7 linked regions of the Callithrix jacchus genome follow. The protein of the gene in region 2 purifies or fractionates together with the protein of the main gene of each other region. This does not show direct contact. Links are inferred from orthologs where the notes say so. Each region holds a gene or a part of one and is shown on either strand. Other genes may lie near its edges. The genes, in order: XPO1, HDAC3, CCND1, STAT3, ATXN3, WDR5 and RUNX1.

Region 1 (2,819 bases), on a different chromosome or scaffold from region 2:
AGGTTGGTCTTGAACTCTTGAACTCAAGTAATCTGCCCACCTAGGCCTCACAAAGTGCTGGTATTACAGGTGTGAGCTACCAAGCCTGGCCCCCACTCACCCTTTTTAGAAGACTCATGGCTATTTTTATTTACATTTTACTTACTTACATTTTATAATAATACAACTAATACTTGTACCAGGTTATATCTGTGTTCTCATTCTAAGGCTAATGTGTATTCTGTTACACTTAGATGCTAACTAGAGTTAGACAACAAGTGCCCTGTAATCCCAAATAAAGGTAAAATGAGTCAAAATGTCACAGGAGTAATAATTTGTTTCTTGAGAACAAAAGGAGCACGCTCATATTACACACCTGCTACCTTTACTAGTAACAATAACTGTAGACATCTTACTTGTAAACCAAGGTGTCAAACTTCATTTAAAATGTTACTTGATGCTTAAACACAAATAACCACTATCATTAATATACAAATAAATCTGAGTCGATAAAGGAAAAATAAATGTAAACCAAGTTTATTTTGCTTTTTAAGTAGTGTTCTTAAAGCACTACAGCTTGGTAAACAATGTAAATTAGTATAAGTCATCTCAAAAGCCAGAGTTGTTTTGTTTTGTTTTTTAATGAGTTGTTAAAAAGATGCAGCCTATTCTAACAGGATAAATATTTTTAACCATTTCACTTCGAGTTAATGAAGGCTCACAAATGAGCAACACTCCTCATTGAGGAAAACAAAAAGCTGTTGTCGACAAGCGACAGCACACACACACAAAAACAAAAAGAACTGTGTAAAAATAACTAACTGTGTTCCCATATTTTTGAAGTCGCTTTACAATGGGATGATATGCACATGATCTTGCTGCAAACTTGCCAAAGAGACTTTTAATACATATAGTCTAGACAAACGATTCAGTCCAAGAGTTGCTAACTTCAGACAATGCAGCACTATAATCCTTTAAACAACGCAATTTGTTTTACTCATTATCTTTTCTTCTAGACTGAAACAGACTAGAAAGAAAATGCTCCCTAATTAAAAATTGGTATTGTTTACAGGAAAAAACGTGTAATTTTGCATTAGAATTTACAAGTCTATGTTCAAATCGAATTTGCCTCCTCCCCCCCAGCCCAGCCACAAAAATGGGCATGAAGTAAAATTTTTAAAAATGCCTTAATTTTCAACTTCATGCAAACTAAATAAAGACGACCAAAACAAAAGCTTAAACAATGGAAGGATATTTCACAGAAAATTTCTTATACAAAAAAACACATAAGAAAAAGGGCCACTAGGTGACATTTTAATTTACAAATTGGCATCATTTTGGTCGACAAATACCCACATGCTGTTTTCCTCTGCCAACAAGAGTTGCAGAGAAAAAAAACAGCATGAATTTTGCTTTTAATCACACATCTCTTCTGGAATCTCATGTGGATTAAAGATGCCAGGGACAGACATTTGACGTTTATGTTTCTCTTCATCAGCCTGACGTAGGGCTATTTCTCTTTCTTCCAAAAACAAATCAGAAGTGTCTTCACCTGCAAACTCCTGTGAAAACAGATAGTTGAAATGTCAATGCAATAAACTTCAACTTGCCTTTGAAAAATAAAGAAATCACAGATGAGCTATTTCCTTTTAGAGAAGGAATATAAATTATCCATAAGCTAGCAGGGTTTTTGGCTGGGTGCAGTGGCTCACATCTGTAATCCCAGCACTTTGGGAAGCTGAGGTGGGCAGATCACAAGGTCAAGAGATCGAGACCATCCTGGCCAACATGGTGAAACTCCATCTCTACTAAAATATAAAAATTAGCTGGGCATGGTGGCACACGCCTGTAGTCACAGCTACTTGGGAGGCTGAGACCGGAGAATTGCTTGAACCCAGGAGATGGAGGCTGCAGCGGGCTGAAATCACACCACTGCACTCCAGCCTGGTGCCTGGCGACAAACCAAGACTCTGTCTCAAAAACAAAAAAAACCTGATAGGGTTTTAAATTATAGACTAGTGATACAATATACTGTGTAGCTGAATTAACCTCAATATTTTCCCCCAGTTGCTAGCTGGAGAAAAATAAGGTTACAGAACAATTACAGGGCTGGTACAGCCTGTAATCCCAACACTTTGGGAAGCCGAGACAGGTGAATCACGTAAGGTCAGGGGTTTGAGACCAGCCTGGCCAACATGGTGAAACCCTGTCTCTACTAAAAATATAAAAATTAGCTGGGTGTGGTGGCAGGTGTCTGTAATCCCAGCTCCTTGGGAGGCTGAGGCAAGAGAATCACTTGATCCTGGGAGGCAGAGGCTGCAGTGAGCCAAGATCACACCACATTGCACTCGAGCCTGAGCAACAAGAGCAAGACCTCCTCTCAAAAAAAAAATAAATAAATAAATACAAATTCATGGTGTGATACCATGTATTAAATATTCAATGTGATTATTACATATTGTATGCTTCTACCTAAGTATCTCATGCATTTCATCCCATAGATATATACACCTTCTATGTATCCACAGAAATTTGTTCTCTGAGAGTCTTGTTCTGTCACCCCAATGTATGATCTCAACCTCTGCCTCCAAGGCAAGCCTTATAAAAAGGACTACTAATGTTTTTCTTAGGCACTATTCCATTATATACTTAACAATCCCTAAAATGAATTATATTAATAATAAGTTCACCCAAATAACATCTCAAACCTATCTTTATTGGACCTGATTTAGTTTTTCACTCCATTACTGGTCTCAGGTTCTTTGATTAGTGAGATTGTATAAATGTATTATCTTCAAACTCCACTTATTTGGCATGACAAATCAAATGATACAAATTCT
Region 2 (4,186 bases):
CCGTCTCTTGGTATTCTGCACTTGGCCTTTTTTCTGTTCCTCAAATGAGTCATACTCAATCCTACCACAGACCCTTATCACATGTTGTCCCTACTGCTGCTATACTCTGCCCCTCACCCTCCAACCACCTTTGATCTGACTACTTCTACTCTTTTTTCAGATCTCAGCTCAATCTTTACTTCCTCTAGGAAGCCAGCCACTCCACCAAGCTAGAAAATTCACCATGTATACACTCTCATAATCTGTCATATACCTCCTCTTCATAATACTTAGCAAAAACACAATATTAAAATTTTGGTTTTGTTCATCACTGCATTCCCAACACTTAGCACAGGGCCTACCCCAGAGCAAATGACAAATAAATATTTATTGAATAAACAAATAAGTTAATTATGATTCTTTGACAAGCAGGCCCCCCTTCAGATGTTCCCACTGGTGCCAAAATACCTCACTGAAGGGACTGGAATTAAACTGTTGGACATCAAAAGTCCCAGTCGTTCCTTACCAGTCATCGCCTACATTGAAGGCATTAAGACTCTTGGTGAAGCCTTGCATATTTGTGGGGCTAACTCTCTGCAGGAAGTCAATGTAGTCCTCGGAGTGGAAGCGGCACATGTCATGCTGGGAGGCCTGGTATGGCTTGAAGACCTCAGGATGGAGACACAAGATGAACTCAGGCAGGGTCAGCCCCACTCCACAGGCTCAGACCACCCATACTGAACCCAGTCCTGGAGATTCTATGAAACCAAACATAACAATACTCTCATCCCACAATCGTTAAGTCAGGAGAGAGACTCCAACTAACCAGGTGGGCTATTACAATTGAGCCCCCTGAAGACCACTTCTTTTCCTTTCCACCTCCAGCTCAACCTATCGTACCTTCTCAACTTTGAGCCCTGATCCACCTGCCCTGTTCCTTGGCTTTCCTATTCCCATTTCTCTCCATGCTCATCTCCTCCCCCAAGCTCTGATTCTGTCCTCTTTCCTCTGGATTCTTCTTTCTGGAGTCAACTATATGGGATATATGTCAACTTTCTAATTAAAATCAAAGATTTATCATCTCTGGAAGGTGAGGGGGATGTGTCACACCTCCTTGAAAACTGGACAAGAAAGAGCTTTTCAGGCTGGGCGTGGTGGCTCAAGCCTGTAATCCCAGCATTTTGGGAGGCCAAGGCGGGTGGATCACGAGGTCAAGAGATTGAGACCATCCTGGTCAACATGGTGAAACCCCATCTCTACTAAAAATACAAAAAATTAGCTGGGCATAATGGTGTGTGCCTGTGATCCCAGCTACTCAGGAGGCTAAGGCAGGAGAATTGCCTGAACTCAGGAGGCAGAGGCTGCGGTGAGCCGAGATTGCACCATTGCACTCCAGCCTGGGTAACAAGAGCGAAACTCCGTCTCCAAAAAAAAAAGAAAGAGCTTTTCTTCTCCCAGAAAATGCACACAGGTACGTACGGGCAAACAATCTCAAGGGGTATAGATTCCTGCACATACATCACCTCAGTCTTTTCTATGACCAATCCATTCGTCTGTGCCTTGGCATAAGCAATTAACACTCATTCATATTGTTCACTAATTTCCTAGCAACACATAAAGCCTGGGCTGTCTTATTTTTTCTTTTGAGACAAGGTCCTCCCTGTCACTCAGGCTGCAGTGCTACAGCATGATCATAGCTCACTGTAACTTCAAACTCTTGGGCCCAAGCCATCCTGTCACCTCAGCCTCCCAAGTAGTTGGGACTACAGGCACACCCACCACGCATGGCTACTTTTATTTTTTATTTTTGTAGAGATGTGGGTCCCACTGTGGCCCGAGCTGGTCTCCAACTCCTAGCCTCAAGCAATCCTCCCATTTCAGCCTCCCAAAGTGCTGGGATTACAGGCATGGGCCACCATGCCTGGCTTAACTGTTACTATCCCATATCACAGCCATAAATTCCAAGCTTGGGGGACAGCATGTGTATGTCTGGGAGATGAAAAACTGGATAGCAATTAAGCAGAACCATGTAGAGGTATTCTAGGCTGAAAACGCAATATCTAGGATATCTCCACTCTTGCACACGCACATACACACTTACAAACATGGCAGCACTGTTGGTAAAGGAGGAGTGGGAACTGAGGGTAAATCTCACACCCCGATAAAGTGATATCCTTTCCCCCATCCCAATTCCTGAGGCTTAGGCCCTATCCACACTCTAAAATGCAGAGGAGGAACACACCTTCTGTCTTCAAACCAGTCCCACATCACCCTAACCCTAGGCCAAGGGCCAGTCTGTCTATAGTCAGAGGGTGGCGGACCTGCGGTGAGAAAGTACTTTCAATTAAGCAGAGGACGCCACCCCCAACACCGTGCACATTCAAGGTACTCCTGATGTCTTCTATCCAGCTTCCCCCTACTTTAGGGGCGGGTCGCATTCAATGCACTCAGACCAGCCCACCTATCCCTACGGCCACAGTTCTCCCCACCCCCCAACCCACGGCCGAGGCAGGGGGACTCACGATCATCTTCTTATAGAGACCGTAGTGCAGGACGAGGCTATGGGTCAATGCCAGGCGATGGGGCTTCATGGGGTGTCCAGCTCCTGGGGGGTGGGGAGAAGAGAGTTCGTCAGCTCTCACCCCTGGAGTTTCAACCCCCACCTCCAAATCTCCGCGTCCCAACCCCTCGTGCATATCCCTGTTTCTTCACCGTAGTGGAAGTTGCCCACGTCGGGGTCGTAGAAATAGGCCACGGTCTTGGCCATGGTGCCGGCGGGAGCAGGCCCCGCGCCTCCGCCGCCCGCCGCCAGCCCCGCCCCGGCCGTGCGTGCTGCGCCAGCACGTAGCCTGCCTCTGCGGAACTGGGCGGTGCGGGGCCCGCCTCCAGCCACACCCGGGCCAGGCCCCCAGAGGAGCTCCGCCCCTCGCCCGTCTCCGCTCTCCCGGGATCTGGGGCTTTGGGCGTCCAGGCGGGGAACTGGTAGCATCGCTCCTAGGATGCAAGGGCCTTTTCTCTCCGGCCGGGGGTCAGATCCTCGGAAAGCCGAGCCATCCCATCCAGCCGCTTGCCCCAAACCGGGCGCAGGCCGTGGTCACTTCTCTAGGAAGCTACGAAGGTCCCGCCACTCCCTCCCTCAAAGGTGCGGAAAGCCGGCTTCCCCCAGCCCTCGGGGAAGATTCCTGACTCCCCGCTCGGTCGGGGCATCTGAGGGCAGGAGCTGCGCCAGGCGTGCCGGATAGTGGACAACACCCACACCGGACAGCTTGTCCCCCACCCGGACCCAGACTCCGCGCCGCACATTGCCCCGGGGGGGCCCGGCGCAGTCACGCGCGCGCAAGGCTCACGCTCTCCGCCCATTACACCTGCGCTCCGCCCCCTGGTCCTGGGCCTGCGACCGGCGAAGGCGTTTGGGAAGCCAGGGCGGCTGCGGAGGCGCCCATCTCCCTGATCCAGGGCCGGGGTTGCTCGAAGCCTGCCGCCGCTCCCAGCCAGCCCGCATCCTTCTCTGTCCTTCCCTCCCCCCGCCTGCCACGGCGCCGGTATCCGCAGCCACAGCCCGGGGCCGGTGAGGCGGCGAAGGGGGAGGGGAGGAATCAAGGGATGAGCGCCGGGAGGGCGTCGGGGGCCCTGAGCCGCACTAGGACGCCCCTGGAGCCGGAACCCGAGCGGAAGCCGGAACCAGAACCAAATCACCGGTACTGGGCGGGCCAGGTGGTCTGGGTGGAAGAAACCGAAAAGGGGAAGGGGTGCGGGAGTACTGAGAGGAGAGGGTTGCAGAGGCCTGGCTCAGACCGGCTCGGAGGAGGTGAGGGCGCTGACTCAGGCGCGATTTCTGCTCCCGCCGCCTAAGAATTCCGTCCCATCTCGTGCTGCAGTGTCCTTGGGAGGGACAGAAGCGCGAACAAGCTGTAAAGGGAAACGCTCGGGGCGTCGGGGAAACAGGACCAGGGTTGTGGTAGAGAGCTTGCGTAGCCGCTCACCTCTTGCCTCGGGCGGTACTGGCGAACCAGCACCCTTGGCCCGGACAGCTCCCCGGTTGGGTAGGGGGTGGAGCCGGACCGCTGAGACTAGCTTGTTTCAGACCCTGAGCAAGGCATTCCTACCCCTCCCCCATTCCCAGCTGCAGCCCCCTAAACCCAGGAGGCGCCCTGGCCCGCGCTCGCCCCCCAGGACCTCATGTCGGAACCACAGCCTGACCTGGAAC
Region 3 (4,254 bases), on a different chromosome or scaffold from region 2:
AAACCATTCTGGAATAATACACTAACTGCTGGCTACCTGTGTCAGAGGGTGCGCTGAAATAGGTTTGGGGGGGCTCTGCCCTCAAGGGATTGGGGGAGAAGATGCTATTGTGTCTTTGATGTCCCGGACCTTGTGGCCTGTCACCCAGAGTGAGCCCACAAACAGATGTGACAACTGAGGCTTGACCAAAAGGGGGCAGGGCCCCCCCATCAGGGTAACCAGGGAAGGAGGCGCACAGGGGGGTCAGAGGCAGGGCTGGGGACAGCAGGAGGCAGCACCCTGTGTATGCATGTGTCTATCCCAGTTGGGTCCTGGGGCCAGGGCCATGCCAGCGGAGGTGAGGACTGGGTACTTCTGCTGCCCACGGTGGCGGCCTAAGCTGAGACTGCTCTGAAGTGCTCCCCAGGGCTCAGCTGAGCCCAGCAGACTGGCGGCACCCCTGGCAGGGCCTCAGGCAGCTGAGCTCCTCTGCTGGACACCCCTGCACTCAGCTGCCCAGAACACGTGGTGCAGGCGGGCCGACAGCTCTCCCCGCCCCCGGAGGCGCCTCTGGCAAGTCGCCCAGCCTGGGAGAGGCCAGGAGGGGGCCCCCGCAGCTCAGGCTCCTTAAGGACACAAGAAGGGCTGGAGGTCGGTGGGGAAAGGAGGCGGCCCTGCGGCCAAGGTAAACCCCTTTCGGCCTGGAGGATGAGGCCACAGCATCTAGACACAGGCAGGCTGGCTGCGTGGTGGCGCGGCCGTAAGGGCAAATCCCCTTCCATCCAGCGCAAACAAGCCAGCACCTCTGCTCACCAGAGCTGGAAGAACTCTTCCCAGCGCAGGCGGGGGCCTAGGGACGTCCTCCGGGACAGCACCCAGGTGCAGAGCAAGAAGCTGGCCAGGCCACCTAAGGTGCTGGCTTTCAAGGGGAGGCTGGGGGCGGCTGGGCCTGCCCTACCTGTAGCGCAGAGGGCAACGAAGGTCTGCGCGTGTTTGCGGATGATCTGTTTGTTCTCCTCCGCCTCTGGCATTTTGGAGAGGAAGTGTTCGATGAAATCGTGCGGGGTCATGGCGGCCAGGTTCCACTTGAGCTTGTTCACCAGGAGCAGCTCCATTTGCTGCGAACACAGGGTGAGCGGCTATCAGGGGAGGTGCGGGCCGGCCTGGGGACGCGGGGAAGCCGGCAGTATGGCCCTAGCCCCTGAGTCTCGTGTGGTCCTGGGGGTGCGGGAGCAGGACTGGCGAATGCTGGGGGGTCCAGGAAGCTGGGGCAACACACGATCCCAGATCAAAACAGAAAAGGCGCCCGCCGCGTGAAAAGATTCTGCAAGTGGAAACAAAAAGACTTCCCACCACCTGGAACGGAAGGCTCAGCGTGGAGCGCGGCGTTCCCGGTGCAGCCGCTGGAGGGCGCGCGCCGCCCATTTTTCGGCCACACCGCAGAGCGCTAACGAGGTGGGAGTCGCAGGCAAGCGCGCACGGGGCGGCTAGGATCCCACCCGCTCCCAGGACGAGGACACCCGGCAAAGGGGCCGCCTGCCGCCCCTGCACCTTCCCCGGCCCGGTGGTCCTGCGGCTCGCGGGGGGCGGCGGGGGTCCCGCGGTTACCAGCAGCTCCTCGGGCTGGATGGAGTTGTCGGTGTAGATGCACAGCTTCTCGGCCGTCAGGGGGATGGTCTCCTTCATCTTAGAGGCCACGAACATGCAGGTGGCCCCCAGCAGCTGCAGGCGGCTCTTTTTCACTGGCTCCAGCGACAGGAAGCGGTCCAGGTAGTTCATGGCCAGCGGGAAGACCTCCTCCTCGCACTTCTGCTCCTCGCAGACCTGCGGGGGCACGGGGCCCGTGACCGCCGCCGCCAGGTCGCGCCACCCCCACCCCACTCCCCCGCCCTCGCATGCCCATCGCGCTCGGCAGGACCACCAGTTCTGGAGGGCGCCGAGGGGTCGGGGCCGGGGGCGGCAGAAGCTTCCTGTGATGCGCCCCCTCTCGCGCGCGTCCCGAGTATCCACCCTCCCTGAAACTGAAAGGGAAAGTCCCCGCGAGGCTGGCATGGTGGGGGCGGGAGCGGGCACAGCTGGGCGGCGGCGCGGGCTGCAGGCCCCGGGGACCCCAGCCCGCCCTGGAGCTCCGTGGCCCCTCTGGCTGTGGGTCGACACCCACTGGGGTGCGGGGCCGCGCAAAAGGCCGCGGGGTTGGGCGCCGCGCCTGCGAGACACAAAGGTGGCGTCCCAGGCCGCCGCGCCGCATTTCCCCAGACGTCATCTTTTCAAAAAATATTTAAAAATATTTAAAAAATAACTAAGTGCGTAAAAATACCCTGAAAATGACCCTCGGACGGCCCTTTACCCAGGCCGGGGGTCGGGAGTTTGTTACAGGGTCCGGGGGAAGCCCCAGGAATTCAAACTCCGGGGACCCCCTTCCCCCTGGGCGCGGGCGGTGTTTCCCTCTCGCAAGGGCACCACGCCGCACTTTCAAAAATTATTTAAAAATACTTGCGGGCCCCTCAGGCGCCTACCGAAGGTGTGAAAATGTTCTCCCAGGCCCCCGGCTCGCTCGGAGAAGGTCCCCCAAGCCGAGATCCCTGCAGACGGGGATCCAGCCCTGGCGTCTTGGGGGCCACGCGACCTTGCAGCTCGGCGTGCTCTCCGGCCCAGGCTGCCCGTGCGGGGCGCTTTGGGACTCGCTGCTTGAACAAAGGCCCCCCTTTCCCCAGCGGGGTCCCCCCAAAACTACCCATGCTGCGTCCCCGCGCCCCTCCCGCGGGCTCCGGGCAGCCGCCGGGCCCCTAGTTGCGGCCCCAGCGCCCGGCGGCCGCTCCCCGCCCCCACCCTGCCCCCAATTATTAATAAACACTTTTGCTGTGCAATAAAAGAGCAAAGATGGCGCATAATACTGGCACGAGAAGCCCTTGCATACGTGTCCATGGATAGTAATTTAAAAATCAAATCTATGCCCCCTCCCCCCGGAGTTGGAGGCTCTCGGCCGCGGCGGCCGGGAGAGGAGCCGCAGCATGGCTGGGGCGCAGGCGGGGGGCACAAAGCGCACCTAACCTGCCAGCCCGCACCCTCGGGCCCATTGGGGTGCTCCTGGCACTGGCTTCTCCTGGAGGCACCCCTCCCCGACCCCCTCCTCCCGTCCCAGGAAACGCAACTCCTAGCACCCCCACCCCCACCCCTTCCTTCTTCAGAAAATACCCACAATTTTTATTTTGAAAATACCTAGCAACACCCCGGCAAACTTCAAAGGTCTAGCGGGAGAGAAGAGAGGGGAGTGAGAAGCAAAGAAACGTGGGTATGGGCAACAAGTTGCAGGGAGGTCTTAAGAGAGCCGCCCGAAGCCCCGCACCTCCAGCATCCAGGTGGCCACGATCTTCCGCATGGACGGCAGGACCTCCTTCTGCACACATTTGAAGTAGGACACGGAGGGTGCGCAGGTCTCCTCCGCCTTCAGCATGGCCCGCAGCACCCGGTCGTTGAGGAGGTTGGCATCGGGGTAGGCGCGGCGGATGGCCTCCACTTCGCAGCACAGGAGCTGGTGTTCCATGGCTGGGGCTCTGCCTGGGCAGCTGGGGAGGGCTGTGGGTTCCGGCTGCGTCCGCGCTCGGCTCTCGCTCCTGCTGCCCCGCGCTCCCTCGCGCTCTTCTGCCCCTCGCCGGAGCGCGCGGACTCTGCTGCTCGCGGCTACTGCGCCGACAGCCCTCTGGAGGCTCCAGGACTTTGCAACTTCAACAAAACTCCCCTGTAGTCCGTGTGACGTTACTGTTGTTAAGCAGAGATCAAAGCCGGGCAGAGAATGGGAGCGGGAGGGGGCGGGGGCGGGCGCAGGGGGAGGGGGCGCGGGCGCCAAACGCCGGGAGCAGCGAGGGGCAGAGCCCAAAAGCCATCCCCGAGGCGCCGCGCCTGCCCTGCGGCGGAGTTGCCCCCGTAGTCCGGTTTTCATAGAAATGCAAATCGCCCCGCTGCAGCCTTTCTCCCCGCCAGAAAAGAGGGGTACAGGGGGCCCGGTCCGACTCGAACGGGTCCCCCGGGATTTGGGGGTGGGGTGGAGGTGGCTCTGCAGTAGGGGACAACTGGGAAGCCCCACAGGCCACACGCAGCCTAGGGAGACCACGAGGAGGGGGGACTCCGGGGCGCGGCGACACCCCATATCCAAGCCGGCAGAATCGGCGCATTTCCAAGAACGCCACGAGGGCACCCACGAGCGGACAGACGGCCAAAGAATCTCAGTTTCTGCATCTCCTTTCATTTTCATTAACACGTGTAAATTTCAAGAAC
Region 4 (3,500 bases), on a different chromosome or scaffold from region 2:
GCCATTCTCATGCCTCAGACTCCCTAGTAGCTGGGACTACAGGTACACACCACAATGCCCAGCTAATTTTTGTATTTTTAGTAGAGACGGGGTTTCACCATGTTGGCCAAGTTGGTCTCAAACTCCTGACCTCAAGTGACCAGCCTGCCTCGGCTTCCCAAAGTGCCGGGATTACAGGTGTGAGCCACCGCACCTAGCTAGGACTGCTACGTTTTAAAGAGGAAGAATTGTTCAGGGGATAAATGTGAGAACAAGAACAGGGTATCACAATTTTTAAAAATCATTAAACTAGCTTTAGGTCATATTTACCTTTTTCTATTAAAAAAATAAAAATTATTCTTGACACTTGACATTAAGAATCCAACTGAATCAATGAAAGGCAGAAAATAAGGGGGATAAAGAACAAGATGAGTTTTTGTTTGTTCGTTGACTTTATTTTCTCTTTTCCTAAGCAAGCTAACACAAGGTGGTCATTTATTTTAAAGTTTAGCTCGGGACTGTTGCTTTTACACCATCTATCCTACCTCAGTGAGAGAGAAAAATGGGACACTGAGAATGGAGCCAAGCAGAGTCAACGGCAGGATCTGGAAGGGGAATTTGGAAAGCCCCAGGCAAGGTGGAAAGCTACTTTATAACACATGGGTGTGGAGAACGACTCAGCAAGGGACTTTCCACTTCTCCTTAAGGAGGAGCCAACTCCCAGATATTCACAGAAATGCTCCAAGCCACAGAACGCCACAGCACATGGAACTTCTGATCAGGTCACTTTGGCCTGCAATGGCTTTTTGGAATTAACTATAGCTGAAAGGACAGGTTGATGTTTCTAATTCTGGGTAATAAGAAGGGTCTTTTCCCCTTTCTCCCTCAGGGAAAACACCCCCAACAAAACTTACATCACAGTTGGCTCGGCCCCCATTTCCACATCTCTGCTCCCTCAGGGTCTGCAAGGAAAGAAAAAGGCCAGGTGTCCCATGAGGCTCTCCCCAGCTCTCTCCCTCAGCCAGAAGCCCTGTGTGAAGGAAGCTCCTCCCACATACCAAGTGTTTGAATTCTGCAGAAAGGCTCCCATTGTTGGACTCTTCCATGTTCATCACTTTGGTGTTTGTGCCCAGAATGTTAAATTTCCGGGATCTGAATTGCAGGAGAACAGTCAGCCATATAGGTGACCAAGTATAAAGTCAGGATAAAGTTAAGTTAAACGGAACAAAAGGAAGCCTCTAGGCGAAACTTACCCTCTGAGAGCTGCCACATCCCCAGAGTCTCTGTAAGAACATAGACCGTTGTCAGTAAAACAGGGTCCATGTTTCTTCAAAAAGCCTACTTTGACCACCTGTTATTTACTCTCCTGAAAAAACCTCTGTGCTCCTGGCATTTCTATGAACAATTTAGTTACAGTTTATCAGTGCATCATAACACCTTTGTGTAGTAGGCACAGTTGGTTGCCTCCCCATAGGAAGGGGAACCCGTGTTTCACATTGCATATGTACTTATTAAACCTCCCACCTTTGTCAACTCCCTTATTTCATTATTTTCCAGTTCATTGTCATGAAATTTCCAGATAATTATATCAACTAAGTATGTATTTTCTCTTTTCTAATATATTCAAAGGGTATGTGTATCTTACATCCTGAAAGGTATTATAAAATTTTGAGTATTCCATTATATGGTAAAAGTGTGGAACAATTAAAAAAAAAAAAGGCTGGGCATGATGGCTCATGCCTGTAATCCCAGCACTTTGGGAGGCCTCAGCCTCCCAAGGTCAGGGGATCGAGGTGGATCACAAAGTCAGGGGATCAAGACCATCCTGGCCAACATGGTAAAACCCCGTTTCCACTAAAATCCAAAAAAAAAAAAAAAAATTAACTGGGCGTGGTAGTGTGCACCTGCAGTCTCAGCTACTCGGAAGGCTGAGGCATGGGAATTGTCGCTTGAACCCAGAGGCAAAGGTTGCAGTGAGCTGAGATCATACCACTGCACTCCAGCCTGGCGACAGAACAAGACTCCGTCTCAAAAAAAAAAGAAAAAAAAAAAAAAAAAGATCTATTCTTTCCACACGCTATGTATGGAAAGAATACATAAAGACATTTCAGTCAACAACAAACTGCACATATGACAGTGGTCCCATAAGATGATAAGCTGAAAAACTCCTACCGCATTGTGATGTGTGTTACGATTGCCTACGGTATTCAGCATGGTAACATACTGTACAGCTTTGCAGCCTACAAGCAGCAGGCTCTACCACATAGCATAGGCACTCTGCCACCCAGTTTGTATAAAGACCATCTACTCTACATAAATGTTGGCACAACAAAATTGCCTAATGATACATTTTGCAGAATGTATCTCAGTCATCAATTAACACATGATCTCAGTCTTATATATAAAATGCATGAATTACATGTACAAGTAAAACGCTAAACAACAGCAACCACAAATCACACCTATACCCTCAGCTTTGTGGCTTTGTTCTGGCAAGTAAATGACAATGCACCCCAGGGCTTTTGTAAACTTTCATCCCCAAAAACATCTCTGAATAAAGATAGAATCTCGAGTTCAAATGATGCCTATAAAAGTTCTCATTTTTCTGTTCCTCATTTGAAAACAAGAACTAAGATAGGAGTACTTACTTATCAATGCACACTTTAATTTTAAGCTGGTAATTCAACTCAGGGAATTTGACCAGCAACCTATTTAAAAAGAAATTATCCAATTAAAAAAAAAGTCAGTAGACTCTCCCATAACCTTTTGTTGAAGAAAGGTAAAATTCATAATTCTTCATTTCTCAGAGGTAATTGGCCAAGCTGTCTATAATTATAGGCTCACATCTATAATCTCAGCACTGTGGGAGGCAAAGCTGGGAGGATCACTTGAGCCCAGGAGTCCCATAACAGCCTAGGAAACAAAGCGAGAGCCTGCCTTTATAAAAAATTTAAAAATTAGCGGGGTGTGGCAGCATGAACCTATAGTCCCAGTTACTCAGTAGGCTGAGGCAAGAGGATTACTTGTAGCCAGGAGTTCAAGGTTGCAATGAGACATGATCATGCCACTGCACTCCAGCCTGGGTCAAAGAGAGAGATTCTATCTTTCTCTTTAAAAAATGTTAAAATAGGCCAGGCGTGGTGGCTCACACCTGTAAGCCAGAACTTTGGGAGGCCAGGGCAGGCAAATCACCTGAGGTCAGAAGTTCGCGATCAGCCTGACCAACATGACTAAGACCTGTCTCTATACTAAAAATACAAAAATTAGCCGGGCATGATGGTGTATGCCAGTCCAGCTACTCAGGGAGGCTGAGGCAGTAGAATTGCTTGAACCCAGGAGATGGACATAGCAGTGAGCCAAGATCGCACCACTACACTACAGGCTGGGTGGCAGAGAGAGACTCCATCTAAAAAAAAATAATAAAATAAAATAAAGGCCAGGCATGGTGGCTTATGCCTGTAATTCCAGGACTTTGGGAGGCCAAGGTGGGTGGATCACCTGATGTCGGGAGTTGAAGACCA
Region 5 (4,177 bases), on a different chromosome or scaffold from region 2:
TAACCTCCATCTCCCAGGTTCAAGTGATTCTCCTGCCTCAGCCTCTTGAGTAGCCGGGGTTACAGGCGTGCGCCACCACGCCTGACTAATTTTTGCATTTTTAGTAGAGACGGGGTTTCACCATGTTGGCCAGGCTGGTCTTGAACTTCTGACCTCAGGTGATCTCACCTCAGCTTCCCAAAGTGCCAGGATTACAGGCGACAGCCACCGTGCCCAGCCATTTTTTTTTTTTTTTTTTTTTTGGTGAGATGGACAGAGAGAGAAACTCCGTCTCAGAAAAAAAAAAAAAAGTGCATCTTAATCTGGTTTCCAGGTGCAAGATGTGTGCCTATCCTTCCATTTAAGGTTCATCAAACTGCTGCTACCTCCCCGTTTCCCACACAATTCACTGCACCTCTAATTTCCCTCTAAAGGGCCAGAACACCTATGCTGGTAACAAGCCACTTGAATTTGAATCCTAGCAAGGTAACTTACTATCTTGGACATTGTACTCTTCTTAATCTCTCTGTGCCTTGGTTTCCTCATGTGTATGAATAACATCAACACCGACATCAAAGTTTGCTGTATTAAATTTGATAATATGTGTAAAGCAATTAGAAAAGTGCCTAGCTCATGGAAAGCCCTATATGAATATTAGCTAACTTTTTTGTTTTCTTTTTTGTGTGTGTGATGGAGTTTCACTCTTATTGCCCAGGCTGGAGTGCAATGGCACGATCTCAGCTCACCCCAACCTTCATCTCCTGGGTACAAGCGATTCTCCTGCCTCAGCCAACGGAGTAGCTGGGAATTCAGGCATGTGCCACCATGCCTAGCTAATTTTGTATTTTTAGTAGAGATGGGGGTTGCTTCACGTTGGTCAGGCTAGTCTCGAACTCCCAACCTCAGGTGATTCGCCTGCCTCGGCCTCCCAAAGTGCTGGGATTACAGGTGTGAGCCACTACCCCTGGCCTAGCTATCATTTTTATACAAGTGCTAGGTTTTGGGAGAATGTAATGACACCTTTGCTTAACAACCTTTAATTGGAGGAGGAGGAGAAAGATAATAAATAGTTATTTGAACACAGTAGAAAGTTCAAATAAAGTGGAAAACAAAAAGAACATAGAACCCAGGTGAGTGGTCCAGACCTCCGGCCAGAAACCTAAGAATCCATAGAAATGGGTGGGAAGCGGAACAGATCCTCCAAACAGCAGGTGGCGCTGTAGCATCTCCCAGAAGGCCCGCTAACAGAATATAGGAGGACGGGCTACCAAGGTCACGTGTCGCTGGCGTTCACTCGCTCTTTGCTCCACGTGACTCACATCCTCACGGGTGATTGGTCTACGTACTGCACGTGGGCGGGGAGACTGGGGCGGACCAGGGAGGGGCGGGATAGGCGGAGGAGAGGGGCAGGGGGCGGAGCTGGAGGGGGTGGTTCCGCGCGGGGGCCGTTGGCTCCAGACAAATAAACATGGAGTCCATCTTCCACGAGAAAGTGAGTGTCCGCGTTCGGTGGGGAGCTGTATGTCCGTGCGGTGGGGAGCTGTCTGCCGCGCGGTGGCGGGCGTGGAGCGCGGCATCACAACCTCCCAGGGGGCTGGGTGGGGCCCGAGTCGCCCCCATCCGGATCTCGCCGGGCGAGGGGCGACCCCGCAGCCTCCTGCCTCCTCGGCTCTGGAAGGGGAGCATCACAGAATCCCCCACTTCCCCCGCTGCTTCCTAGGCCCCCGCCCGGGAAGCCGGGAGGGTGTATGGGCGGGGCCGGGGCGTCTCGGGACAAGGGAGTGGGGTGGCGCCTAGTGGGTTCGCTTCTGCCTTTTTCCGTCACTTTCAATCGCTTTTCGAAGGATTCTTTGACCTCCGCAAGCCTTCTCTCTCCCTAGGGTCTAGCTAGAGTGACCTCTGGGACATCTCCCTCGACCCCTCCTACCCCATTCCTGGCAGAATTAACTTTTTCATCTCTGGACTGCTCAATTCTATATTGCAGTGTAGAGTCTTCCCTACACGTAGATCTTTGGAGTCTTGTTCATGTCTTTCCCCTGCACTGGGTCCGCAAGCCTCCCGAAGGAAGGGACCTTGGCTCCCCCACACTGGGGCCTGACACTTAGGAAGTGAAGTAGGAAACCCGGCTTGTCCCTTAACAGGGAAGTCGTCACAAGTTTTTATTACGGGATGTTTGGGTTTGGTTTCTTTGGGTACTCCCATCTTTCCGGAGCAGGCGGCCAGCTTTGTGTTTGGGTATTAGGAGTGGATTGGAATGATTTTGTTGTGGTCTGCCTAGCCCGCTGTCACTTTAACTCTTCAGTGACCATGCACTTGAAGATACTGTTTGTGATAAGTGGAGAAACTTGTCTTTACTCACATGCTATTAATCCAGCCATTTGTGTGTGAGTGAAGCCTTCCCCAGGACAACTTTGGCATATGATGTCTTGTTTCATAATAGTTTCGTGTTTGGAGTTGCTGGCGAGGCTGTTATTTAATAGGAGGAGCAAAGGGTTTTTGTTTAATTAAATACTTGTAAATGATCAGTAATTATCACGATTAATTATCCCAGACATTTAAAATTCACACACACACAACAAATAAAGCAAAGGCAATAAATTTACCAGATGTAAATCTGTAATATGAATCTATTTAAAAATTTTTTATTTTAGCGATGGGATTTCATTCTGTCACCCAGGCAGGTGTGCAGTGGAGAGATCCTGGCTCGCTGCAGCCTTGACCTCCTAGGCTCAAGCGATCCTCCTGCCTCAGCCTCACTGGGACTTCTGGTGCATATCGCCATGGCCAGCTAATTTGTGTGTGTGTGTGTGGAGATGAGGGTCTCGCTGTGTCGCCCATGCTTGTCTCAAACTCCTGGACTCGTGATTCTCCCACCTCAGCCTCTCGAAGTGCTGTGATTACAGGCATTAGCCAGCCACTGTGCCTGGAACAAATTGTTAAGTACAATATTTTAAATTGTAGAAAACATCTAGGAAACTTTTAAAATAGACTGATTTAGAGTGGGGGAGGAAAGACTCAGTCGTATAGTTGTTATTAATCTTTTGGTTTGATTGACATGACTTACAAATCATAGACAATAGAGATTTAATTACTTGGCTCAGTAATTAAAGAGTGGGTGGAAAATACACATGTACTTAAAAAAAAAATTTTTTTTTTTTTTTTTTGAGACCAAGTTTTGCTCTTGTCACCCAGGCTGGAATGCAGTGGCACGATCATGGCTCACTGCAACCTCTTCCTCCCTGGTTCAAGGGATTCTCCTGCGTCAGCCTCCAGAGTAGTTGAGATTACAGGTGCCCACCACCACATCCAGCTAATTTTTGTATTTTTAGTAGAGACAGGGTCCATGTTGCCCAGGTCTTGAACCCCTGACCTCAGGTGATCCACCTGCCTTGGCCTCCCAAAGTGCTCGGATTACAGGCATGAGCTACCGCACCCAGCCGTATTTTTGTTACTAACTTTCAAAGGCTTTGATGTGGGACCACATCTCAACATGGAAGGCCTTAAATATGTTCCACACTACTTCCTGAGATTTAGACAAGGTTTTCAACGATATTGATTGTTACCTAGTTGGGACACATTTCTACTGAACCATGGTATGAAAAAAAGTTGGGTGCTAGCCTAGTGAAAATCTACTTACCTGAAAGAAGTCCCTCTTAATTCTTAGCATGTGTGTAGGCCTACAGATACTTCAGGAATACATTTAATGTTATCATCAAGTTGTATGTACATAGCAAATGAAGATTCAACAATTTAGGTTGATGTTTTTGTTTTTTGAGATGGAGTCTCTCTCTCCTGCCCAGGCTGGAGTGCAGTGGCGTGATCTTGGCTCACTGCACTCTCCACCTCCCGGGTTCAAGTGATTCTCCTGCCTTAGCCTCCTGAGTAGCTGGGATTATAGGCGCCCACCATCATGACCAGCTAATTTTTGTATTTTGTTGTTGTTGTTGTTGAGACAGAGTTTTGCTCTTGTTGCCGAGGCTGGAGTGCAATGACACAGTCTCAGCTCACTGCAACCTCCGCCTCCCTGGTTTAAGCGATTCTCCTGTCTCAGCCTCCTGAGTAGCTGGGATTACAGGCGCCCACCACCATGACTGGCTAATTTTTTGTATTTTCAGTAGAGACGGGGTTTCACCATGTTTGCCAAGAGTAGTCTTGAACTCCTGACCACAAGTGATCTGCCTGCCTCAGCCTCCCAAAG
Region 6 (4,106 bases), on a different chromosome or scaffold from region 2:
TTCTGGAAAAGCAGCCTCAAGTACACCAGGGATATTCTACGAGCAAGACCAACATGCAAGGGAATGAAAAAAGACTGTTTCAGCTTGACAATAAAATTTACCCAAAATCTCTCTAGTAAGCAGCTAGTTTCCTCCATCTCGAGAATAGATCCATTACTTGAATACGTCTCATAAAAGCACAACAGGTTATTCTGAAAGGAGGCACAGCATCACTAAAAAAGCAAGCCACTGAGACATGCTTGCAAATACCACTGGCCATCAGAATTCTGGAAGCTAGCACCACCATCCATCTAACGAGTTTACACACTGTACGTTCTAGTTTGCAGCTTGAAACCGAAATCTTGCAAGGCTGCTTGTAACATTAAGGTGAAACGGAAGGCATCAAAAAGAGTCTCAAAGTCTTGATGCAAGAGGAAGGCAGAGAAACTACAACACCCACTTTCCAGAAAACAGGTGTGGCCACAGATCCATTTCGCCTGCAGCAAAGATTCCCTTCGAAAGGATGGATCACGATGCATCTAAAGCCTGAGCATCACACACTCTCACACACACACATACACACACACACACACACACACACACACACACACACGAGTGGGGAAGGGGAGGGGCAGGCCCTGTAGAGCTGCCCAGAGTACAAAGTGCCAGTACAAAGCCAGTCCTCGGTAAATGCCGGCTACATGGTGCTTGTCATAAGTGCAACCTGGCCATGGCAATTTAACCCAACTGCTGCCTTCTCCCTGGCACGCTGGACAAGTACAAGGAGAGGGAGGAGCTACGGAAATCCAAGCAAAAAGCTGCAAAGTCCACTGCAAAGGTCCTAGCCGGAGACAGCCAAGTCAGGGCAAGAGCTGAGTGAAGTGTGGCCGTTCCCTACCCAAGTGAAACACCAGAGGAACAGAAGGCAGAACCGGCAGCTCAGAGGGCCGAGCAGCTCCAGTCAGCTGTCTACTCACCTAGGTGAGTCCAGATGCCTGAAACACCCTCAGGCAAGGCGCAGCAGACTGGCGGTCTTACAAAAGGAGCTCAACCCCTCCCAGCTCAGGCCCACCCACCCCACCCTTTGGGCTCTAAAAACATTAACAAGTAAAAGAAACAAAGAAACAAAAAAAACCCTTAACTTTAACATGCCTTTTAAGAATAGAGTTTCTTGACACTACACACCCACCAATTTCTACCTCAGTGGTGGGGTCTAGGCTTGAAATTTTCTTTTTTTTTTTTTTTTTTGGGTCGAGGCTGGAGTGCAGTGGCAAGATCTTGGCTCATTACAACCTCCGCCTCCGGAGTTCAAGCGATTTTCATGCTCAGCCTCCAGAGAAGCTGGGATTACAGGCGAGCACCACCATACCCGGCTAATTTTTTGCATTTTTAGTAAAGACGGGTTTTGCCATGTTGCCCAGGCTGATCTCGAAGTCCTGAGCTCAGCAATCTGCCTGCCTCAGCCTCCCCAAGTGCTGGATTACAGGTGTGAGCCACCACACCCAGCCCAAAGCTTGGCATTTTCATAAACACCCAGGAGTTTCTGTGAAGAATCACTTTAAGGGAACAGGAAGGTTGGCGACTTGATGCTGAAAAAGTGGGGGCCAAGAAGGTTCCATGCACGGTGATGAGGAGTTGACCGCCCCCGCCCAGGTGCGGCCTGGCTCCTCCTAGCAGCTGCTGCTTTTCATCCAGGTAAGCCTGACCACCTGAAGCCCAGCAACTAAAGCTCAGTATGCTCTCCTGGGCTGGATGCCACTGGCGGATTCCGGAGTCCCTCAGTCCCCAAGGTGGAGCCCAGGAATCGGCCTGCGGCATGCTGTCCAAGAGAGCATGCTGCGTGCAGACCGGAATGAATGTGCATCCCAAACAGCAGCCAGGTGGCCGGCCCGACAGCGGTGGGAACCCGGCGCTGCGCATCTCAGGTCCTGGACGGGCTCCCGGCCTGGGTCCTTCGCTTACCCATCTGTCTTCCCCACCGGCTAGCACCGCACCTGCCCAGGTCACAGCGTAAGCATTTGGGAGATAGGAAAACAGACCTGGGTAGCTGGAAACTTGCCTGCGAGACAGCAGGGAGGGTCGTTAGCGGGAAGTAACAGCCCAACCTCCGTCTAGTCCGGGAACGTAACCGCTCAAGATGGCTCTCGCAGACCGGCCAGGACTGGTCTGCGGCCCCGCGCGAGGAGGAGCGGGGGACCCTCCGTTCAGGAGCGAGGACCCGAACCCCAGGACCCCACCTAGCGAGGTGCAGCCTGGCTGCCTCCGGTTGGAGTGAGCGGCGGGAGCGGGCTGGGGCGTTTCTACGAAGGGAAGCGCCACGTCCGGGGACTGACTGGCTCGTGGGTCTGGTCCTTCCCTGGAGATGGAGGAAGAGGAGCGATGTGAGGCCGGGCGCGCCGCCGAGGGAGAGGCCCCAGTACCGGCGCTCGGGCCTTGTCAGCGGCCCGCCAGGGAATCGGAGGTGGGAGCGCCGGTGGGGGCGGGCGGGGTGCAGGGGCCTGCGCGCGCGGCCGTCCACCGAGGAGCCCGTGAGGGGGTCCCGGGCGGGGCCGCCGCAGTGGGGGTAGCGCCGGGGGCTGGGCCTGGCCGGAGGCCCGGCAAGGAACACGTGCGGCGGCCGGGGACGATGTGAGGGCTTCTGGCGCCGTCCCACTCCCCGCCTCGTGCCCCCCGGGCCGGGCGGCTGCCCACTTACCTGTCGGGCCGCGGCGGCGGGGCCGGGCGCTCGGGACGTCGCGTCGGCCGCCTCCTGGGCGGGAGCGCGGACTCTGCGCGACAAGGCGGCAGCTCCGGCGGGCGCCAGGCGGCGGGGGCGCAGTGCGCGTGCGCGAGGGGAGGGGGCGTTGTCCAAAGGCGGGGCGAGCGCACAAAGCCCGCCTCTCGGAGAAGCGCTACGGGCCGCGGCTGCGGCCAGAATGCCTCGGGCAGGCCCAACGCTTTAAAGGAACCGCGCCGGGAGCACGCTTCCCGCTTTAAAGCTTTAATCCCGAATTCAGCTGCCGCAGGCCCTTCTAATGCACTTCCTAAAAATGGAAGTATAATAATACATACAGGAAAGTGCTAGTGTGCTCTCGCGTTTCCAAGACTGAGTACGCCCTGCACACTGGGACCAGAGGCCCTCCGGGACCCGCGCAGGTGGCGTCGCCTGGCGTTGTCCCCGGAATCGAGGCGGACCGGGGCACCTCCCCGGGCGACCAGGCCCCTTCTGGATCATCGCCGGTACGGATGACAGCGGCAGTGGGCGTTTGGAAAGCACTTGGGGCCGCGCCCGGGCGCAGTGCCCCCCATGTGGCCGCCTACCCTGGGCGGGCAGGACGACTCCGGCCCATTTAGAAGCCCCAGAGCCTGCGCGTTCACTGAGCTCGGAAGCCCGGGCTGCGCCTCCCCGCGGGGCCGGCTGCTCTTCCCGCCTCTGCTGGCACAGAGCCAGCGGTGCGCGCACCTGCTCCTCCCCAGCCCCGCGGACTGGGAGAGCCGCGTTGGAGACACCCGCGCCCGCTCCGCAGTGCGCAAACTCACTTTGCACAGGGCTCTCTGGGGCCAACCCTTTCCTCCTGGGCGGGTATTTTCACCTACGGGTACAAGGGGGTGGTCCCCAGAGGAGGACCCCGGGGCCTAGAAGGTGAGGCCCGGTCGTCTAGCCCTGACTACTGTGCATTCTCGCCTCCTGCTTCACTTCTTAGAGCCTTGGAGGTAGGTACGGCCTCCCTACCCGCTCAACTAGGCCTGTGGGAAGAATAACATGCAGTCACTTATTCTCCAATTTAAAATGGGAACACAGAATATGACACAGGAACCCGTGCAAACAAAGGGACAGAGCATTTGAAATAAAAATGTCCGGGGAGAGTGAGGTGTGCGCTTGTCAGAAAGGCTGAACCGAAAGACTGGCAGATGGTCTGGAATCCCCTTCCCAGGAAGGACACAGAAGGGAAGGTTCCTGTGTGGTCCGGCAGGGCTGCGTGTGGATCTGTGTGCCCAAAAGGCCTGGTCCCTTGGGCCAGGTGCCCTGGAGCATGGAACAGTGACTGTCACAGGTTAGCAAACCAAGCTCGGATGAAGGCCATCTCCATTCCGTCCACCTGGCTGCCTGGGCCAGAATCCCCGCCCATCACCTGCTGTTCTCCCCC
Region 7 (4,022 bases), on a different chromosome or scaffold from region 2:
CATCATCACACAGGTTCTCTCGAGCCAACATTTCATGTGCATGGAGTGCTATGCAGATGTAGGCAGAGCAAAATTGAATAAGGTAGTTAGTTAGGAAAACAAGTCTTTCTTTGTCTTGGAACTACAAAACAAAATGATGTTTTATTTGTCAGCAGGTAAAGCCAATGGGGCAGGAAAAGAAGTATGTGTGACCAGAGTGGTTTGCCCACTTATAAAATTATCCCATGTTTAGCATCTTCAAACAGTCATGTCTTTCTGTAGAGGACAGATGTGCTATATAATATTTATTAGCCCCAGGAGAAGGAGCTTGCCCTGGAGAAGTGTTTCCTCCTGGTTCCCCTTCTATTGTGAAATCCTCACGTGCTCAAAGTGTAGTTTTACATACAGGTGTAAATTAGCCTGTTGATTTGAATTGAACTAGAGAAAGGTGATGCAGGGAGCCTTCCCAAGTGAGAACACAAACAGCAGAGTAACTACAGCTTTGTCCCAAATACAGGAATTCTCTTTGCTTTATTTTCCTTTAGCTTCCTAATGTGTGTGTTAAGAGAGTACTATGATTTTATCTCTTTACTGAGATACATACTAAAGTTGTCCATTTAGAAGGAATAAAACCACATAATTTTGGTTTCATTAAAATAGCCTTTTTATTTCAAAAGTAAAATTCTTTTCCATTCCCAGGCTTTAAAATACCTGGGAGTTGCCAGCCCCGTGTAGGGGTCAGACTCTCACCAAGACGTTTCCTTTTATTTATTTTTCCCTTTTATAGTTTCACTTATGCCATGATAGTCTTTACCAAAGGACTTAACTCTGCCGGAGCTGATGCTGAGCATTTTAAATGATGGGATCCACATCCTGTGGGAGCAGTGGCTTGATGCCAGCGTTGAATTACTATTGAATAAGCAGCAATGAAATCTTTATCAAAATAATCAGTAGTTCCAAAAACCACAAATAACAACAGGAGCCGAGTTGTACTAAATCAGCAAAGGCCATTGAGATATAATAAGAGACTGAGTCACTTTTCTCTGCATCCCGCCTCTTGCAAATTCTACTCGGCTATTTTCTTGCACAGCCTGGGGGAGGGCAGGTGGAGGGAAGGAAGGGCATTGCTCAGAAAAGAAAAAAAAAAATTGACATCACTTAAGTCACATGATCACCAAGAACCAATCAGGATGGGATGTGGAAAGGGGAACAGTTAAATTTGTAATTTGGGTTGTGTGAAAACTTCTTTGGGCCTCATAAACAACCACAGAACCACAAGTTGGGTAGCCTGGCAGTGTCAGAAGTCTGAACCCAGCACAGTGGTCAGCAGGCAGGACTAATCACACTGAATGCAAACCACAGGGTTTCGCAGCGGGTGAGCATCACCAACCCACAGCCAAGGCGGCGCTGGTTTTTTAATTTTTTTTAATCTTTAACAATTTGAATATTTGTTTCCACAAGGTGCATTTTTTAATAGGGCTTGGGGAGTCCCAGAGGTATCCAGCAGGGGGGAAAAAGAAAGAGAGATGTAGAGTAGGGGGTGAGACTGAAGCAGTGATCTTTCTTGGTTTTCCCTCCGAAGGCAAAAGAAATCATTGAGTCCCCCGCCTTCAGAAGAGGGTGCATTTTCAGGAGGAAGCGATGGCTTCAGACAGCATATTTGAGTCATTTCCTTCGTACCCACAGTGCTTCATGAGAGGTGAGTACACGCTGGTCTTGAAATATGTACTTTTGCTCAGCTTTGCCTGTAATGAAATGGCAGCCTGTTTCACCTCGGTGCAGAGATGCCTCGGTGCCTGTCGGTTCCCTGTCTGGTTTGTGGGAGGAATTCGAACTGAGGCATATGATTACAAAGCTATTGGATTACTTACTCATCAGATGGAAGCTCTTCAGAAATGTTTTAATAAATACTTAGTTACACTGGTAGAGTGTTCAGTCGGTGCGTGAGAACTTTGTTAAGTGCGAGTAAATTGTGCCGGTCTTGTTTAAAGGCTTAGAGATGACGAAGCTTGCACGAAGCTCCCTGGGTTTTATTTTGCTGTCCCTTGCCCGGAATGACTGTGTCTGAGTTACCCTTCACTCCGCATGCTGTGTGGCCCAGAATGCAGCCTGCCCCGGGGCTTAGCAGGCACATGCAAGAGCCAGCCAGGAGGGCTGGTGCCAGTGTTGGGCAGGAGACGGAGGCTCTCGGGTAGACTTGCACTAGGCTGGTGACTTCTGTCCAAAGTGGCAAGGCAGCTGTCTACCAGGCAGAGAGTACAGGAGCCTGACAGAATTGGTTAGGTTAAAATCATCAGCATGGAACTGTGCTGTGTTTTCCCTTGCAGCCTCAATGCAGAGACAACCAGCATCTTTTAAGAGACAAGGAGGCAAATCGTGGCATACTGAGGTCTCTCTGGAAAAGCGCAAAGAAGTCTCCTAAGTTAAATGTTCTCGCAGCTTAAGTCATTAGATTACAGGCTTATGAATGGGAATAGCCAGGGTGGAAAACCTGTCTCCATTTTTGAAACCAGCCTCTTGAAACTCACGAAGCTGTGGTTGAGCCGTGAGTGTATGTGTGTGCATGTCCGTTTTGTGTATCTTTCGTGGTAAAAGCGGGCTGTGTTTAAACAAACAAAAATAATAACGAACAATGTCACAAAGGCATCGCCGTGTGCATCAGGGCACGCACTCTGACCAGTGCCCGCAAAGCGTGGCTTGATGGTTTGGCAGAGCTGAGATGGAGTGGGCTGGGATGGGGGAATAATTAATTTTCTGGCTACAAACTCTCTCGAGCACCCAAATAATGTCTGTGACTCATTATTTATTCATACAGCTAAGTGAGCAGGGGAATGCAGAGGCCCTGCCAGCCGCTTTATCACAGTAAATGCTATTGTGAATGCACGGGGCTCTATGTTTCCGGGTCTCTGAAATTTAAAAAAACTTGACGTGTGTGTGTTTGTGTGTGTGTGTTTCTGTGTGTGTGTGTTTCTGTGTGTGTGTGTTTCTGTGTGTGTGTGTGTGTGTGTGTGTGTGTGTGTGTGTGTTGGGGATGGCAAGGGAGAAGTTAAGGAGAAAGGGAAGAAAGCAAGTCATTAACCAAGTTTGAGCTTCAAATTAAAGAGTTTTCAAGTGCTTCTTTACCGGCAGAGGGAATTTTAGTGAAGTTGAATCACACAGACATACATTAGTCACTCGTCTTGCAGTTGGTAACACAGAAACACCGGCCACTGGTGAAAAGCTGCAAACGGCCCCTGGCTGCATTTCCTCTGGGCTGCTAACAAGCAGAGGAAGCAATACTATTCGTAGAATAACAGAAAAAAAAAGATCTTCCTGCCCTTACTCTGCTTTCAATATCCCCTCGGAACGTATATTGTTTCCTATTTTATCAACTCAGGAAGGCAGATTCAGGAAATTTTTAAGCATTCTGCTGGGAGATAGGTTGCATTTCAGAGTGCAGTGCCAGCCTCTGGGGCTCTTCTTAATGGCCAACAGCAAAGATGGTGAGGGGACACGGTGACCTGTGCAGACATCAGGAGATAGCAGGAGTCCAGCTCTCTCCTGGACAAGCCCAGGGCTCCTGTGCCCAATGGATACTCAGCTGACCTGCCCCAGGTTGGGAATGAGGGTCAGTTAAACTTTCACGAGGGCAGTGTGGGGAGGGCCTGAGCTCTCACTAAGACTCAAAAGGGCTAATCTGAAAAGGTTTCTCCATTCCTTCCTTTCACTGAAAGAAATCCGGGGCCCTTCAGAATCTCTAATTTGATAATATAATATTGAGATTTAATGTCGGAGGGCCACGTGAAATCTTGGCAATCTTTTGGTTAATTTCATCCAAGTGATCTATCAACATAAATTGTCCTGTTTACCCGTCCACATCATTCATCCAAGCTGGAGAGGTGGTAAAATATCATTTCTGTTGGTATCGTTTGGTCATCATCTTAGAGCTTGATGCTAAAACAATCACCACCCCCACCAGCAAATGGCTCTCCTGACCGTTCTCAGGCTGTTGCTGTAGCTGGGCTACTCACAGTGGTCAATGCGGTCATTTCTGACGGCCTATA

The links.
Region 1: the proteins of HDAC3 (region 2) and XPO1 purify together in Homo sapiens (affinity purification with western blotting; 3 studies listed by BioGRID, with this or other methods). This does not show direct contact. The link is inferred for Callithrix jacchus from reciprocal best matches to the Homo sapiens genes HDAC3 and XPO1.
Region 3: the proteins of HDAC3 (region 2) and CCND1 purify together in Homo sapiens (affinity purification with western blotting; 5 studies listed by BioGRID and IntAct, with this or other methods). This does not show direct contact. The link is inferred for Callithrix jacchus from reciprocal best matches to the Homo sapiens genes HDAC3 and CCND1.
Region 4: the proteins of HDAC3 (region 2) and STAT3 purify together in Homo sapiens (affinity purification with western blotting; 4 studies listed by BioGRID). This does not show direct contact. The link is inferred for Callithrix jacchus from reciprocal best matches to the Homo sapiens genes HDAC3 and STAT3.
Region 5: the proteins of HDAC3 (region 2) and ATXN3 purify together in Homo sapiens (affinity purification with western blotting; 3 studies listed by BioGRID). This does not show direct contact. The link is inferred for Callithrix jacchus from reciprocal best matches to the Homo sapiens genes HDAC3 and ATXN3.
Region 6: the proteins of HDAC3 (region 2) and WDR5 purify together in Homo sapiens (affinity purification with western blotting; 3 studies listed by BioGRID). This does not show direct contact. The link is inferred for Callithrix jacchus from reciprocal best matches to the Homo sapiens genes HDAC3 and WDR5.
Region 7: the proteins of HDAC3 (region 2) and RUNX1 purify together in Homo sapiens (affinity purification with western blotting; 3 studies listed by BioGRID). This does not show direct contact. The link is inferred for Callithrix jacchus from reciprocal best matches to the Homo sapiens genes HDAC3 and RUNX1.

What each region holds. Positions count from the first base shown.
Region 1 is NC_133515.1:52,645,317-52,648,135, reverse strand, and holds the end of XPO1 (exportin-1), read right to left. Parts: intron 1,542-2,819; coding exon 1,395-1,541; 3' UTR 501-1,394; downstream 1-500. UniProt on the Homo sapiens protein: Mediates the nuclear export of cellular proteins (cargos) bearing a leucine-rich nuclear export signal (NES) and of RNAs.
Region 2 is NC_133503.1:40,068,918-40,073,103, forward strand, and holds the start of HDAC3 (histone deacetylase 3), read right to left. Parts: upstream 2,801-4,186; 5' UTR 2,747-2,800; coding exon 2,692-2,746; intron 2,585-2,691; coding exon 2,502-2,584; intron 649-2,501; coding exon 506-648; intron 1-505. Other genes in the region: RELL2 (RELT-like protein 2), read left to right, coding at 4,159-4,186. UniProt on the Homo sapiens protein: Histone deacetylase that catalyzes the deacetylation of lysine residues on the N-terminal part of the core histones (H2A, H2B, H3 and H4), and some other non-histone substrates.
Region 3 is NC_133511.1:126,558,891-126,563,144, reverse strand, and holds the start of CCND1 (G1/S-specific cyclin-D1), read right to left. Parts: upstream 2,801-4,254; 5' UTR 2,718-2,800; coding exon 2,496-2,717; intron 1,804-2,495; coding exon 1,588-1,803; intron 1,098-1,587; coding exon 938-1,097; intron 1-937. UniProt on the Homo sapiens protein: Regulatory component of the cyclin D1-CDK4 (DC) complex that phosphorylates and inhibits members of the retinoblastoma (RB) protein family including RB1 and regulates the cell-cycle during G(1)/S transition.
Region 4 is NC_133506.1:121,758,031-121,761,530, forward strand, and holds part of STAT3 (signal transducer and activator of transcription 3), read right to left. Parts: intron 2,688-3,500; coding exon 2,628-2,687; intron 1,263-2,627; coding exon 1,233-1,262; intron 1,132-1,232; coding exon 1,038-1,131; intron 942-1,037; coding exon 894-941; intron 1-893. UniProt on the Homo sapiens protein: Signal transducer and transcription activator that mediates cellular responses to interleukins, KITLG/SCF, LEP and other growth factors. Once activated, recruits coactivators, such as NCOA1 or MED1, to the promoter region of the target gene.
Region 5 is NC_133509.1:126,952,602-126,956,778, reverse strand, and holds the start of ATXN3 (ataxin-3), read left to right. Parts: upstream 1-1,377; 5' UTR 1,378-1,447; coding exon 1,448-1,471; intron 1,472-2,763; exon of another isoform or gene 2,764-2,902; intron 2,903-4,177. UniProt on the Homo sapiens protein: Deubiquitinating enzyme involved in protein homeostasis maintenance, transcription, cytoskeleton regulation, myogenesis and degradation of misfolded chaperone substrates.
Region 6 is NC_133502.1:182,702,646-182,706,751, reverse strand, and holds the start of WDR5 (WD repeat-containing protein 5), read right to left. Parts: upstream 2,801-4,106; 5' UTR 2,675-2,800; intron 2,336-2,674; 5' UTR 2,217-2,335; exon of another isoform or gene 2,019-2,216; intron 1-2,018.
Region 7 is NC_133522.1:41,089,585-41,093,606, reverse strand, and holds the start of RUNX1 (runt-related transcription factor 1), read left to right. Parts: upstream 1-1,222; 5' UTR 1,223-1,354; intron 1,355-1,561; 5' UTR 1,562-1,620; coding exon 1,621-1,678; intron 1,679-4,022.